Styela clava: one gene and its partner. Each later gene encodes a partner of the first gene's protein in a complex. Links are inferred from orthologs where the notes say so. Each region holds a gene or a part of one and is shown in the gene's direction. Other genes may lie near its edges.

The links. Proteins that work in one complex are often made in the same cells at the same time.
Region 2: DNA-directed RNA polymerase III subunit RPC5-like (region 1) and DNA-directed RNA polymerase III subunit RPC4-like share a complex: the UniProt entries of both Homo sapiens proteins name them as parts of the RNA polymerase III complex. The link is inferred for Styela clava from reciprocal best matches to the Homo sapiens genes POLR3E and POLR3D.

The regions. Positions count from the first base shown.
Region 1 is NC_135260.1:20,672,503-20,679,809, forward strand, and holds the start of DNA-directed RNA polymerase III subunit RPC5-like, read left to right. Parts: upstream 1-4,291; 5' UTR 4,292-4,776; coding exon 4,777-4,812; intron 4,813-5,145; coding exon 5,146-5,274; intron 5,275-5,580; coding exon 5,581-5,785; intron 5,786-5,904; coding exon 5,905-6,024; intron 6,025-6,239; coding exon 6,240-6,400; intron 6,401-6,710; coding exon 6,711-6,795; intron 6,796-6,891; coding exon 6,892-7,056; intron 7,057-7,307. Other genes in the region: copper chaperone for superoxide dismutase-like, read right to left, coding at 1-40, 481-591, 863-886. UniProt on the Homo sapiens protein: DNA-dependent RNA polymerase catalyzes the transcription of DNA into RNA using the four ribonucleoside triphosphates as substrates.
Region 2 is NC_135255.1:8,600,492-8,607,759, reverse strand, and holds DNA-directed RNA polymerase III subunit RPC4-like, read left to right. Parts: upstream 1-4,500; 5' UTR 4,501-4,633; coding exon 4,634-5,665; 3' UTR 5,666-6,763; downstream 6,764-7,268. UniProt on the Homo sapiens protein: DNA-dependent RNA polymerase catalyzes the transcription of DNA into RNA using the four ribonucleoside triphosphates as substrates.

The DNA.
Region 1 (7,307 bases):
TTTGTACATCTTCGAAAGGCAGTGCTGTGTCAACAACTACCTAGTGAATAAATATAGTCACAAAAATGTGTCTTTTTATCAGCACTACTGTTTGTGAAAGGAGATTGTTGTTTGAATAAAATAGTTTAAAATTCATTTTGTAATTATTGTAGGCTACTATCAATTTTTAAACATGGACAATGCTCATGAAATAGGGAATGTTGAAACATAAACTTGAATTATTACAACTTGAAAACTGAATCCAAGATAACTTTCAGTCCAAATTCAATAGTGACTGTAACACTGTCTTAGTTTTAATAGAATATTTGAAATGCGGAAGCCCATAGAAATTTCGTGAAGAATATGACTAGGGAAATTACAGTAATGAAGCTGAAGACTGCAACATGCCCCATATCTGGTTATTTACACAGTAAGTCTTTATAAGGTTGTGTTGATTCAAACTTATAGTTATTTATATTCTCCTTGCTATAATTAGCCAACCTGCTGGATGTTGAGGTTTATCTTGGATCCGATTATTTTGGAGTTTCCAGAAAGCACTTTCTCTACCTTTTCCACGCAAGTGTTACAAGTCATTGAGACAACAAACTCGAGCTGAAATAAGAGCAGAATATGATTTTTAACCTAAAGGCAGAAGAGAGAGAAATGATGATGAGGAAGCGATACAGTAACCACTCTATGACAACAAGGATTTCAGGAATCTTCTGCAATTAATTTTTCCTTACATAATTCTAACCTGCGCAGAGTTATTAGTCTTTTAATGCACAAATAGCCCATCTGAATGAAATAAAATTTTGTTCTGTATTCATCTCCCTGAAATGAGGAATTTCAATAACATAATAGGTAATACCGTAATGAAATTTACCTTTGCGACAGAATCATGCTCCATTGTACCCCAGTGTTATTGATGATATTATTGTACCGCGATGAAGTGTTCTCGCCTCCTTTCTCACTAGAATGTGAACCAGAAATCGGTTCTGGTATTGCGCAACCAAAGGTCGTTGAGGCGTGTCGATACCTCATTTATTTATTTAACCATATTTACGATTTAACCGTAAATAATTACAACTGATGATTTAACATAAGTGCCTAAATATACGACCGAAAAGTAGTTAGATAAAATAAAACTTCGGGGCTTTTGAAATGAATGTATATCCGAGCATCGATTTTCTTGTTTATTTACACAACAATAACAAATCATCAATAAGTTCACAATGACGTGGGAATTTATCCCACTGTTCAGACACTTCTTCCGCTCAGATACCGGTCTTGTTTATTGTTTTGAACTAAAATGATAGTTTTAAACATGTGAACCAGTTTGAGAGCGCAAACTCTCTAAAACGCTCTCAAAATCATATTTAAAAATTTTGCGATGATAAAAGTATTTTCAAGGGCCGGGGAAACGTCCATTTGCCCGCATGTATATGGTTGTTTCCCCGACGCTTGATCCCAGAATAATCTTTCCTATACTCAACGATTAACATAACTTTACTATAGCAAAATTTTGGATGCCTATTTTGCAAACGTTTTGACACTTTTTGTTCTCATCGTTTTGACACGAAGAGTTGACACTTACAAACTGATTTACATACTCATTATTTTCACTAAAATATACAACAACGTGTCGCTTATACGTACTAGCTAGTTTAGGTAATATTTATTCTGAGGGAGGCGATACGACTGCTTATCTTAATCACATGTTTTTCACTATTTTGTGTATTTTTCTGTTGGTAGGTGGGCACGTAGTCTACTTGTACGTTTTTAACTTTATTCTATCTCTGCATTATTTTTAAATATGTGCTACAACAATATTCATTACATTAATTATCACTACAACATATATTCCCATTACCATCGTACATTTGTCTATTATGTTTTTTGTGTTGTTTATGTCAGTACCGAAATAAAATGATTGATTAAAAATTTCAATTGTTATGCATCGTTGACTTTTTTCTGGTTGGTCACCGTTACAGAAACAAGAAAGCTATGCTCAAATATATGGACACATCAGTTTTATTTCGGTCACTCTGAAAGAAAACAACAAACGGACAAACAAAATGCAGAGGATCTGGAGAACGGGCATAACTTAATAAAAAAGGTAAAACCGTACAAGTACGTGCCCGTCCACCAAAAACAGTCAAAAGATTTTAATAAAACAAAAACACGATGTAAAATCGGGCAATACCTTCTAATTCAATTTTAAAATGTGAGACGTGTACATGTATAACAACAATCTGCGCTCTGTTCCATCATCCACAACTAGATTCATAAAAGGATCGAAAGCTCGCAAAACACCTCTAACAGATCGTCCACAATTTAACCTCAAATCCAATCTTTTATCAATAAACTTCTTTAATTCCGGTGGTTGGGCTTTGATCATGTTGATATTACGCGATACAAATCCAACTGTAGATAACGAAACACACAGTGCGTAGCATTCTCTAGTCCAGGGTGGTTTAAACCCAGGCCCGCGGGCCACATATTAGCCGCGGCTTCATTATCTGTGGCCCGCGTCGCATTCGAAGAGTAATGAAAAAATCGCACTCCGTGTTGTTTCGTAATAAAATTAATCAGAAAATTTTTTTGATATGTTGTTACATAGTATATATTTACGGTTACATCACTAATGTCACTGAATTGACTAGTGTTATGGCCAGCTGAGGCAACTAGCGAAGTTGAATAATGTGCTTGGCAGTCTAAATTATTGTCTAGCTTTCCATCTTTTTGGTCGGGAATATATGCTAACAATATATGCATCATAGAAAACTAAAAATCGAACGCAGATTCTATTAGCCTGGGATGGCTATATGTCTAATAACTAAGTGTTTGCACAATAAAAGGGTTTGTTTTGCATTGCACTGTTTACCTATTTTTTATGCACTATTGTGGCCCGCAAACAATGCAAAAATAATTTTGTGGCCCGCGGAGCCGGCAACCTTGGACCACCCTGCTCTAGTGTTTTCAAGTATCCACGGCCGCACCCGACGACGGTCGGAACATCGTTGTATCTATTCAGTTAACCATGGTTGTATGTTAGCTTGCTCTCGAAACACGATTTGACCTCAAAGTTCAGGAAACAACAAAAGCGAAATTTTGATACGCCAGACTAATTCCCCCCCTCCCTCCAAGAGGCGATAGGCGGAATGACGAACTGTCTTCTCAACGTTGGGGAGAGCGGTTTGGTAGCGTGGCCGAGCGGTCTAAGGCGCTGGTTTAAGGCACCAGTCATTTCGATGGCGTGGGTTCGAATCCCACCGCTGCCAGTATTTTCGCAACACATTCTCGATAATCAACCCTTTGTCGGCGATCTGATATGACTGTTTTCGCTTTTTTCTTGTCAACACACTGACACACATGTTCAGATGTTACCGTGCTGTCCGACTGTTGGCGGTGTTTCCACGTGATCTTGTGAATTCAGGGCTGCCACTCTATGTTTTATATCAAGATCTAGATGTAAAATTTGGCGTCTAGATGTTTTTTTTCGACGTTCCGAATATTATCCAGTGAGAAATAAATAAAACGATGTGTATAGACTAATACGGTACCGTACTGTAATACAGTACCGGTACTGCAGTAATATGTGAATGAATATTATTTCATTAATTACAGACTTAGAAGTAAGTTAAATATATTGATGTAGACTATCATTAAATTGTATTCGTCTACCGGTACGGGTACGGTACCATATGTAATTAAATTATTCGAATAACGAATTAAACATGTTTAGAACATGTGACGTTTCAGTTACATAATTTAATAGAAAGGTGGACGTTGGTCCGATGAATCAATGTTTAGTATTGTATATTTGTATTGTTGCCAGGTGGTGAGAATAATTCGGTAGTTCAAGTTGCTCACTTCAGAATTTTAAAATGATAGCCTAAAGTTATTTAAATGCTATTGAATTTGCCTTTCTTTACTTTAAAGTGCTATGAACCATACAAAAATAAACTGAGAAAGAGCATAAAGCTGTAAAGACAGATTTACTGAATGTTGCATTTCTTATAAGTTGCTGATTTGGTTGTCAAAAAAATATGTACAGCAAAAACTCATAAAAACCCCTCTGAAGTGACAATATCAACAGATGTTAGCTTCTCCCACATCTAATCCTATGTAATATATTAAACTTTGGGTGCTCCCGAAGTATGCGAACCAAGATGGCGGACATCAGAACGTAACAGGTTAGGGTTAGGCGATAATTTTTTTCCAATTTTCCTTATTTTAGTCCTATTAAATTATCAGTTCGAAGACTAGCCAAGAGCCTCCCGTAGTATTTATACCTAAAATTATGGCCTAACCCTAACCTAGTACACATATTACATTCCGATGTCCGCCATCTTGGTTCGCATACTTCGGGAGCCCCAAACTTTGTATGCTCTTGTTTCGTCGATTTTCATCAAATTTAATGACTTCATCTAGATGTATTTTCTAGATGTTTTATTTTTCAATCTAGATGTTTTTCGAGGTCAATCTAAATGTTTTTAGTCAGACAAAAGTAGCAGCCCTACACATGATGCAGACCTCATTTTGTATCTGTGCCCAGTACGGGTAGTCCATGCTCAAGGCCGCTCAAAAGCACGGCGACGTTACCGTACGTTTGGATTTTCAGATTTTAAATATTGCTTTCAATATCTTATTTCATGCATTTTTTGTCACATACTGACAGACCTTCCAAAACTCTGTAACTGCTGAATTGTGTAACAATATACTGATATAAGGGCAAACAATCTTAATCTTGGTTTTGTGGTTAGAGTTTAAGATTAATCGTCAGATGACAGGATAATGGAAACCACCACAGAAGATGAAGTTGTGAAAGAGGTAGGTCTTACTCTTGGTGATATAATTAAAATTTCATGCAGGAAGCGCTTAATGCAGTTAATGGATGGATATTTCATTCATTCTGTCACCAATATATTTGGCTCAAGTTAGTCAACTGTCGAAATATCTATCATTCTAATTTTCTATGCATAGGCTTGATGAAATTTTGCAAAATTATGCACTATGTTACTCGACATATTATTGTAATTCAAATCTAAGTTCTTGTTGATTTTTCTGTACTTTCATTTCTTTTGGAAATGAACTATATTGGACCATAGGATCAATCTGTATATACAATGGACCCTAATAATGAATCTAAATTTATTGTTTCAGTTTGATGTCTATTTGTCCAAAAGCTTGTCTGGACGCCTTTACTTGCTGCAATATCCAGTGCAAAGTGTAAAACGAAAATATGGGTCTCAGGATCGAGATACGGCCAAAATCAAACCACAAAATAATAAAGTAAATTCACTGTTTAATTTTCCTTATCGTTGGCAGGTCTTTTATCAAAAATTTATGCTAACTTTGGTTAATAACCAGTCAGGTTATTCTGTTAAAATTATTAACTGGGTGTAATTTCATGTTAAGCTTGCTGATGTGCAAAGTCAAACTTGTTAATGGAGAAATGTTGATAGATATCTTTGTATGCCTTAGTTAGCTGCAATAGAACATCTAAAAAAAATTTCAAAACTGTCACATAAGGAGACACGTTCCTTTTTACTAATTGTTGTGAGCACCATATCTCACTTTGTTTTTTCCATTATCCAGATTGAAATGGATGTATCACTTGACATCAGCAGTCCAAACTATGACCAAAGCAAAGGAGAGCAGATTGCATTGAATGTTGATGGAAATGTCGGAACAATACAAGCATCAACCACATTCGATACAAATGTTATGGACAGACAGACGTTACAATCAAGCTGCGTGCCAGCGAGAGGAAAACGATATGTATCTGCTATTGTTCAACATGGTAAACCTAGTCTTTCTTGGTGAAAGTTACAGCCATGTTCTACTATCTTACTTTAAATATCTATTAAGAAATCAAATAAAAGATTAAGAAACCACTAAAATTACTTGACATTTTTATAGATGAGGTACATCTGACTCCAATATCTCATGTCATGCAACTTAAGCCAAGTTTTAAATATATGGATAGAGCGGAACATAGAGCATCACAAGCTGCAAAGGCCAAAGCTGCAGCCGAAGCAGGTAATAATGACTTTCATGTCTACATTTCCCACGGATATGCAGCAGTTAATGAACAAGGTCTAGGTCTTCTATCCTAAATAAATAAACATTGCTAGCCTGCTAAAATTATTTTAGTTATGTATGTATTAAACTTCATGTAAGTTTTTATATATTTTTTTTATTTCTTATGATGTTATTTTATTAAATGATAAGGATATATCTAATTTTCTTGGAAGATTCGTCCCAAGATGAGGCAGAAGAAGCTAAGGCTGTAACCGTTCGAGTGAAAGGAGCTGAATCAGAAGCAGTTCGATTGGCTCGAGAACGATCTTATGCTGCTTATGAAAAAAGAATTGCAGATGAAAAATGGATAGAAGTTAAAGTACACCATAAATTGGTGAGACAGTTACAAATATTGAGCACATGTGTTTTGAACATTATGTGGTATGGATGGTTTCCAATGAAATCAATTTTCTATTTATTAATTAAACTTTCCTGTTATTTGCATAATGGAGAGATTACAATTTTGAGTTATTGTGTATTTGCCCAAAGTTCAATACAACTCAAAAATATAGCTTCAAAACATTTCATGTGTTTCTTTAACCAAATTGCAATTTATCACAATATTGAGAGGGCTTAAATTTTTTTTTGACATAACAGGAAAATTCTCTTATCATAATGTGAAATCTTATTGCATATTTTTAAAGGACAGTTATGCAGAAAGAGAAAGACAGAGACTTATTTGCCAAAACACTAGACAACCTGACGATAAATTAAGCCCAGCTCTTACAGGTATAATTTATAATTTTGTTTTGAATGATTTGAAATTCTAAATTTTGCTGAGATTTGAATACAGCCTGACTCGGTATCGTATGTTTCTTTTTACAGCTTTCTCTGAAATGGTACAAACACCACATGAATACCTCACCAAACTAATTCCAGTATATGATGAACATTCAGTTGATAACAGTGCAATACCTGACAATGTTCTATCTTTATCTCTGTTGAAAAATGAAACATTAGGGGATCAACTGAAACTTCTAATGAAGAATGGTATGATTAGTATATGATGTATGGTTTAGTTTATCTTTTAATATTCATTATTTGGGGTTAGATATGTGAGGAAATTTTATGAAAAAAGAGCTTTTCGTTCAGATTATATTTTCAATTCAAAATTGTTATATTTTCATGTTGAAATTTCAACCCATTCATTATTCTTTCGAATGGGATTTTACAGATTCCCAATTTTTTCATGTTAAAATGCCAATCTCTATTATACCCATAGTGGTTGCAACAAGGGGTAA
Region 2 (7,268 bases), on another chromosome or scaffold:
TATTTCTGCATGGGGCTCCGCTGATAAAACTCTTTTACGCAAAATTGAAATAATGCAGAATAGGGCCATTCGTGCTGTCTCTGGCAGTGGACCTTATGCCCAACTTGATCCAATCTATTATAAACTTCGTATTATTAAAATGGTGGATATTTATAAATTAGAGATATTGAAATTGATGCACCAACATCACAACAAAAAACTCCCTGTTACATTCACTGATTATTTCTTGAAACAAAGCAGCGTGCATTCTTATAGAACACGATCCTCTGCCAGTAGTTCCTATTATGTAACTCATTTTTCAACCAAACGTACTCAAAATTCGATAAAATATACAGGCGTTAAATTATGGAATGCTGTATCCGATAACATTCGAATTATGAATTACAATTCATTCAAACAAGCTTTGAAAAAATTTTACCTGGATTCCTATGTATCCTTCTAGTCTGCTTCAATAAGTGGTATAGATCCCTTATAAGTATAGTAGTGTACCGTATACAACCCATGTCCCCCACCTTTTGTGTGGCTCGATTTTTCTATAACTGGTCATTCGGTCCAGGATCTCTATTTTACCTAAACGATCGTGACTTTTTTCACCTCTTAATGCCATTGGCATTGTCACCATTTTTCTTTATTGTCCTCACAGAGCACGACCATTATCACTGAGTTCGCATCATTGCCCAAAGTACATGTGGAATGAACTTTTCCCATCAAAACAGTTTTTCCTGTCTGAATTGTACTTATATATTTATTTATTTATATATTGCCGTATCAGTACTGATACTTAATCCAACCCGGCTTCCCCTGTTATGGTTGCTGGGAATTCCCCTTCAGTTGCTAAGTTTCTGCAGCGTCCTGCCAGTCAACAATTTCATATTGTGATTGCGATCACCCGAGCATGACGCTGCGAGACTGACATACTGATTTATCGTAAACGCGTTTTTTCTGACTTTTACTCGACACGATGGATATTTGTTCCCATTTAAACATTTCTCTCTCGATTCCCTTCACATTTCTTTTTAAACCATTCTCTTTTGACTTGCTCTCTCGATTCGATTTACGTTTTCTAAATTTCCCCTGAGCTAACTTAATTCTAGATTAATCATTTCTTCCCCGACTCTCTTGATTCCATTCATACTTTTTATTTAAACTTTTCTCATTTGGCTTACTCTCTCGATTCGATTTACGTTTTCCAAATTTTTGCCCTGATCATATATAACTCAACCTTAATCATTTGACGTTTTTTTGACGTCATTCAGCTTTAATGGTGTCGCTGACACGATGACTTGATAGTCTTTCGCGGCTCCTCGTTAATTGCAGTCGAAACATTATGTGTCTGTTGTTTTCTTTTGCCTTGATTTACTATGCTTGTGTTGTTCATAATGTTTCTTGCACGACGAAAATAAATTATCTGAATCTGAATCTGAACAGTCTTAAAAGGCGCGACGGTGTGGCTCAACGGGCTAAGCGTTAGGAATACGCTCGCCACTGCACCTCTAATTACTCTGCGTGGGTTCGCAGGCTCGAATCCCATGCAGGGATGGTTATGTGCGAGAGGATTGCTGGACTCCTCGCCGTCGTTGGGTGGTTCACGTAACCGCTGGTCGGTTACGGCTTCCTCCACCACCAAGTCCATGCTTCCGAAAACAAACAATTTGACTTATCCCATACCCGACTTGGAATGGTAACCGGACGAGAGGCCGTGGTTCGCCATATGGATAAGCCGTCTTATCGGCTTTCCTCTCCCCCGGGATAAATATGTAAATTCTATCCTATCCTATCTAAAATAAGGATACAACATTTTGCAACAGTAAAGTATAAGGAGGGGTCAAGGGTCGGGGAAACATCCATCACGTCTATTTACAATCAATTGCTATGTGCCACATTTTCCATAAGCATGCGCGGCATATGACATACCACCTTTTAAAGTTTATTACATTTACCGGTACAGGATGTCGTATTCAATAGAGGTACCGGTACCCGCCGTACCGGTATGGTTTGGAATTCATGTAGGACAGTCCGGTAGGTACCGGTACTTGACCTTACTGTACCGGTACTAGTAAATAATAATACTTTGGCGCGGCGGTGTGGCTCAACGGGCGAATACGCTCGCCACCGCACCTCTAATTACTCTGCGTGGGTTTGCAGGTTCGAATCCCATGCAGGGACGAGAGGATTGTTGGACTCCTCGCCGTCGTTGGGTGGTTCACGTAACTGCTGGTCGGGTACAGCTTCCCCCACCGCCAAGTCCATGCTTCCGAAAACAAACAATATAACTAATCCCATACCCGACTTGGAATGGTAACCGGACGAGAGGCCGTAGTTCGCCATATGAATAAGCCGTCTTATCGGCTTTCCTTTCCCCCGGGATAAATAAGTAAATCCTTGTTTGCCTTGGAACGTGAACAAAGTTCTTAAATTTGAAATACGTTATCATAAGGTGAGTGAACACACACCGCTTCTTCTTGGCAAAACTTCCATCTTATATACCGGTACATTCTGTACGTTTTAAATCTTATCTAAGGTTTTGTTTGCTCTCTTGATTTCATAATCAGTTTTTATTTTTACCAATCATTTTATTGTTATGCTGATTATGGAGTCGAAATAAATTTATATCACATATGGCATATTCGATGTCTGATTTTTGGTATGTTTGACTCCCAGCAAAAATAAGTTAGACGATGTCTTTCTAATAAATGTTATTTTACTATTCCATAATTCACAAAATTTTATTCAATTTTATTTTCTAGTTTTTTTTCTTTTTTATTAAGGAATTTTTTTTCTTATTTTAGTATATCTCCGTACCTGTATGTGCGTTAGTGTAAATTAATTTCCGGCAAACCCAACCTAAATTCTGTAGGCTTCAACCTACAGGGGTGGTGACTCCTCTACGACCCATGGGCCGGGGCCACGGCCCATCTAATTGGGCCACATGGGCCGTGGCCCATCAAGCTATGGGCCGCGGCCCCGCCACCCGCCAGGAAAAATTTAATTATCTTACCAAAATTTTCAATTTTTACAAAATTGTCAATATTCGAACCAAAAAATAAACTCCTGTAGTATGTGTACCAGGTTAGGGTTTGGGCAAAATTTTGTTCAGATTTTTTACAGTATAGTTCTATTATGAGTTTGGGGACTGTTTGTGTTAGCCAAGTGAATAGTTTTTTTACACAACTTGATGGGCCGCGGCCCATAGCCTGATGGGCCGAGGCCCAATTTGATGGGTCGTGGCCCCGGCCCATGGGCCGAAGAGGAGTCACCACTTCCACTCGCTTCAACCGGGTCCGGTATAGTTTAGTACCACATGCACTTCTAGATGGCCTGGCTCAACAATTTTTGCATTATGTCATTCCTAACCCCCACCTGACTATGTCACCAAAACATTACGTCACTAAGACACAATAGTGGCGTAATAAATATCTCCCAAGTGTACAGATGGTTGTCCAAATTGCGCAGACGATCACCCGAAATCGAGCAAGCTATTTCTCTCGTTTTCTCGTCGCAGTGATCCCGATATGAGAGAGACAGCTGGCGTTAGTGAGTTCGGTATCGTCGGCGCAGATGCCATTTCGGACGATGGTAGCTATATATGGCAAGCTCTATGACGTGATTGTGACGTCGTAGTGACGTAATTTATGGATGACATAGTAGGGTGGGGGTTAGAAATAACATAAACAAAATTCGGTATGCTACGGTCAATTTTTTTTAAATGTTTTTATCAACTATTTTATCATCTGTTATGCTGATTATGGAGTCAAAATAAACTTATACTTATGTTAAATAAAATTGAAAAAAAAATTTATATATAATTTGGAAATAAACGTATTTACTTATATCTATTGTCATACAGTCAAATGTAAAACTCAGTTTGAGTTTAAATGTGAATTAGCGATTCTCAAGAAAAAAATTGTATGAATGCTAAGGCATAATCAATATTCTATGATTGTACGACTCGGTCACCGAGGTTAGTCAACAATGAACAAGTTGCCGAGCGACAGCACACATTCATAGTTGTATTTATTGGGATATCTAGTTATTGACTAATGACTGAAAGTTGAGGGGCTCAAAAGTCGTTTTGAGCAATATACCACATTTATAGACTGTCGCATTACATGATATCGAATATGGAAAAATTAGTGTTATCTCATCTCCATGATTCTTGCTATCAAATTATGGTATCTAAGAGTGCTATATAATGATTTATTACTAAATGATTTTTATTACCATCAATTTATTTCGAAAATTGTATTGTTTTAGGTTGATTCAGTGCAACCTAATTGTATGATTATTTACTTTAGTGATGGCTGACTTCCATTAGCTAGATGTTGTATTTTAAATTTAACAAATGTTGCTATTGCTACTCCTATGATATTAATAAATTTGTGACCCATGATTATTAATTAAGAAAGCCTTTCTATCTGGAAATATTAGAGCTAGATTCTAAGCTGTTGTTGTTTTCTCTATTGACCTATTTCCTTTCCTTTTGAGATAATATTTATCATTTTGTTTCATATCTATATTTTGCAGTGTTCATTACAATTGATATAGTATTATTAATATGCTTTATAAATGATATTTGCATAACATTGAGTCCCAAACCTTAAATTAAAATAATACTGAAATAAAACTAGCACTAATGCCGCGTTCAACTGAACGCCCTGGACGTTTACCGTCTCTGCGTGGTCCAAGGGATCTAACCCTTGGTGGTGTCAGGAAAAAGACTTTTACTCCTAACATCCCAGTGAGAAAAGAGAGAAGCAAGCAAGAACAAAAGACAGATGAAGTTTCAACAAGATCAAAAAAGGATGGCTCCAGACGGGATAGACAAAGAGGAAGAGGTAGGGGGCGTGGCAGGGGCAGACCTGAAATTATTCAATCACATTCTATCTTTGAAGCGGGACCTAGTGCAGAACCTGTGGCAAAACGTAACGATGCAGGTTTTGGGACGGGAGGTGGTGGAGGAGCATCAAAAGATGCAATTGAAAAACCAAGTATAAAACAGGAAATATTCGATGAAGATTTAGAGAAATCAAAGACTGAAGAAGCATTGAAAAATTTAGAGGGGGATTCTTTATTCATTGCTGATTTAGAAAACGACGATTCTCTGATGCCAACATCTCTTCCTATGTTCTCATCATTGTGGCCGCCTGGAGCAGGCATATCAAAGCAGACTATGAACGATCCGGAATCTTCAATTGAATGCAGTAATGTTTTTCTTGGCAGTGCTTTTAAACAAGAAGCAAAGGATCCAACAGACGTTCTTATATTTCAGTTACCTGACACTCTACCTGCTGTACCACCTTCCACTGATACACACATTAAAACTGAGCCCGGAATTAAAATAGAACCTGGAAAAGTAAAACAGGAACCCGGTCTTGATGTTGCAAATGCGGAAAATAAACATTGTACTCTGGAAGAATTATCAGAAGGCTATGTCGGTAAACTTCAGGTAATGAAGTCCGGTAAATGTAGACTGTTATTGGGAAATATAATACTGGATCTGACCAAAGGGACTCATTCGTCATTTCAGGAAGAACTTGTGTCCGTACGTTTACCACCTGAAGGCCAGGATTCTGCGCAGGGACATATGACTGTTTTAGGTAATATTTCGAATAAGATAATTTGTACTCCTGATATGGAGCATTTAATAAGGCAAACCCAAACATGAATTATTTTTCTAGACATTATTGAGTCAATATTTAAAATAACACAAAACTACTGTAATGATCCTATTTAGGCTTCGCTTCATTAATATTTTATATTTGTTTAAATTTTTAAAGTAAGAATGACGTTAAATTAAAAATGAAATGCTGAGTACAATATTTGTATCTGTGGAACTGAGTTATTATAGTTCAATTATTTAGGCAAAGGAATCTCGAGTCAAAATAGATGTTATGAGTCACCTTTCAGATCTAATGGAATGAAAGATAATTTTTAAAATTGTAAGCAAACTTTGTTTATTTCTTCAAATCAATCAAAGTCTTGTATCAATGGGAAAGTGATAGTTTTTAACATTATGGTTTCAAGAGCCACATTTGACTAACATGAGGCAATTAATCTTTTATATCACTTTATTGCGCAAAGCATAAATTTACAGCAAGTTCAGACACTGAAAAGGAAAAATCCCAAGACAAAATTATTATTATTTCATATTCTGAAACTGTTACACAAACAATAGTATTGACTGGTAGAAGTTGATACAAAAATAATGCTTAGGAAGAGAAATAATAACTCTACCTGCTGTACCACCTTCCACTGATACACACATTAAAACTGAGCCCGGAATTAAAATAGAACCTGGAAAAGTAAAACAGGAACCCGGTCTTGATGTTGCAAATGCGGAAAATAAACATTGTACACTGGAAGAATTATCAGAAGGCTGTGTCGGTAAACTTCAGGTAATGAAGTCCGGTAAATGTAGACTGTTATTGGGAAATATAATACTGGATCTGACCAAAGGGACTCATTCGTCATTTCAGGAAGAACTTGTGTCCGTACGTTTACCACCTGAAGGCCAGGATTCTGCGCAGGGACATATGACTGTTTTAGGTAATATTTCGAATATAATAATTTGTACTCCTGATATGGAGCATTTAATAAGGCAAACCCAAACATGAATTATTTTTCTAGACATTATTGAGTCAATATTTAAAATAACACAAAACTACTGTAATGATCCTATTTAGGCTTCGCTTCATTATTATTTTATATTTGTTTAAATTTTTAAAGTAAGAATGACATTAAATTAAAAATGAAATGCTGAGTACGCATATGACTTACAGTAATATTTGTATCTGTGGAATTGAGTGATTATAGTTCAATTTTTTAGGCAAAGGAATCTTCAGTCAAAATAGATGTTATGAGTCACCTTTCAGATGTAATGGAATGAAAGATAATTTTTTAAATTGCACTTTGTTAACTTCCTGTCTATTTCTTCAAATCAATCAAAGTCTTGTATCAATGGGAAAGTGATAGTTTTTAACATTATGGTTTCAAGAGCCACATTTGACTAACATGAGGCAATTAATCTTTTATATCACTTTATTGCGCAAAGCATAAATTTACAGCTCTTTTATATCACTTTATTGCGCAAAGCATAAATTTACAGCAAGTTCAGACACTGAAAAGGAAAAATCCCAAGACAAAATTATTATTATTTCATATTCTGAAACTGTTACACAAACAATAGTATTGACTGGTAGAAGTTGATACAAAAATAATGCTTAGGAAGAGAAATAATAAACTTCTTAAAATGTACTTTTGCTTTTAGA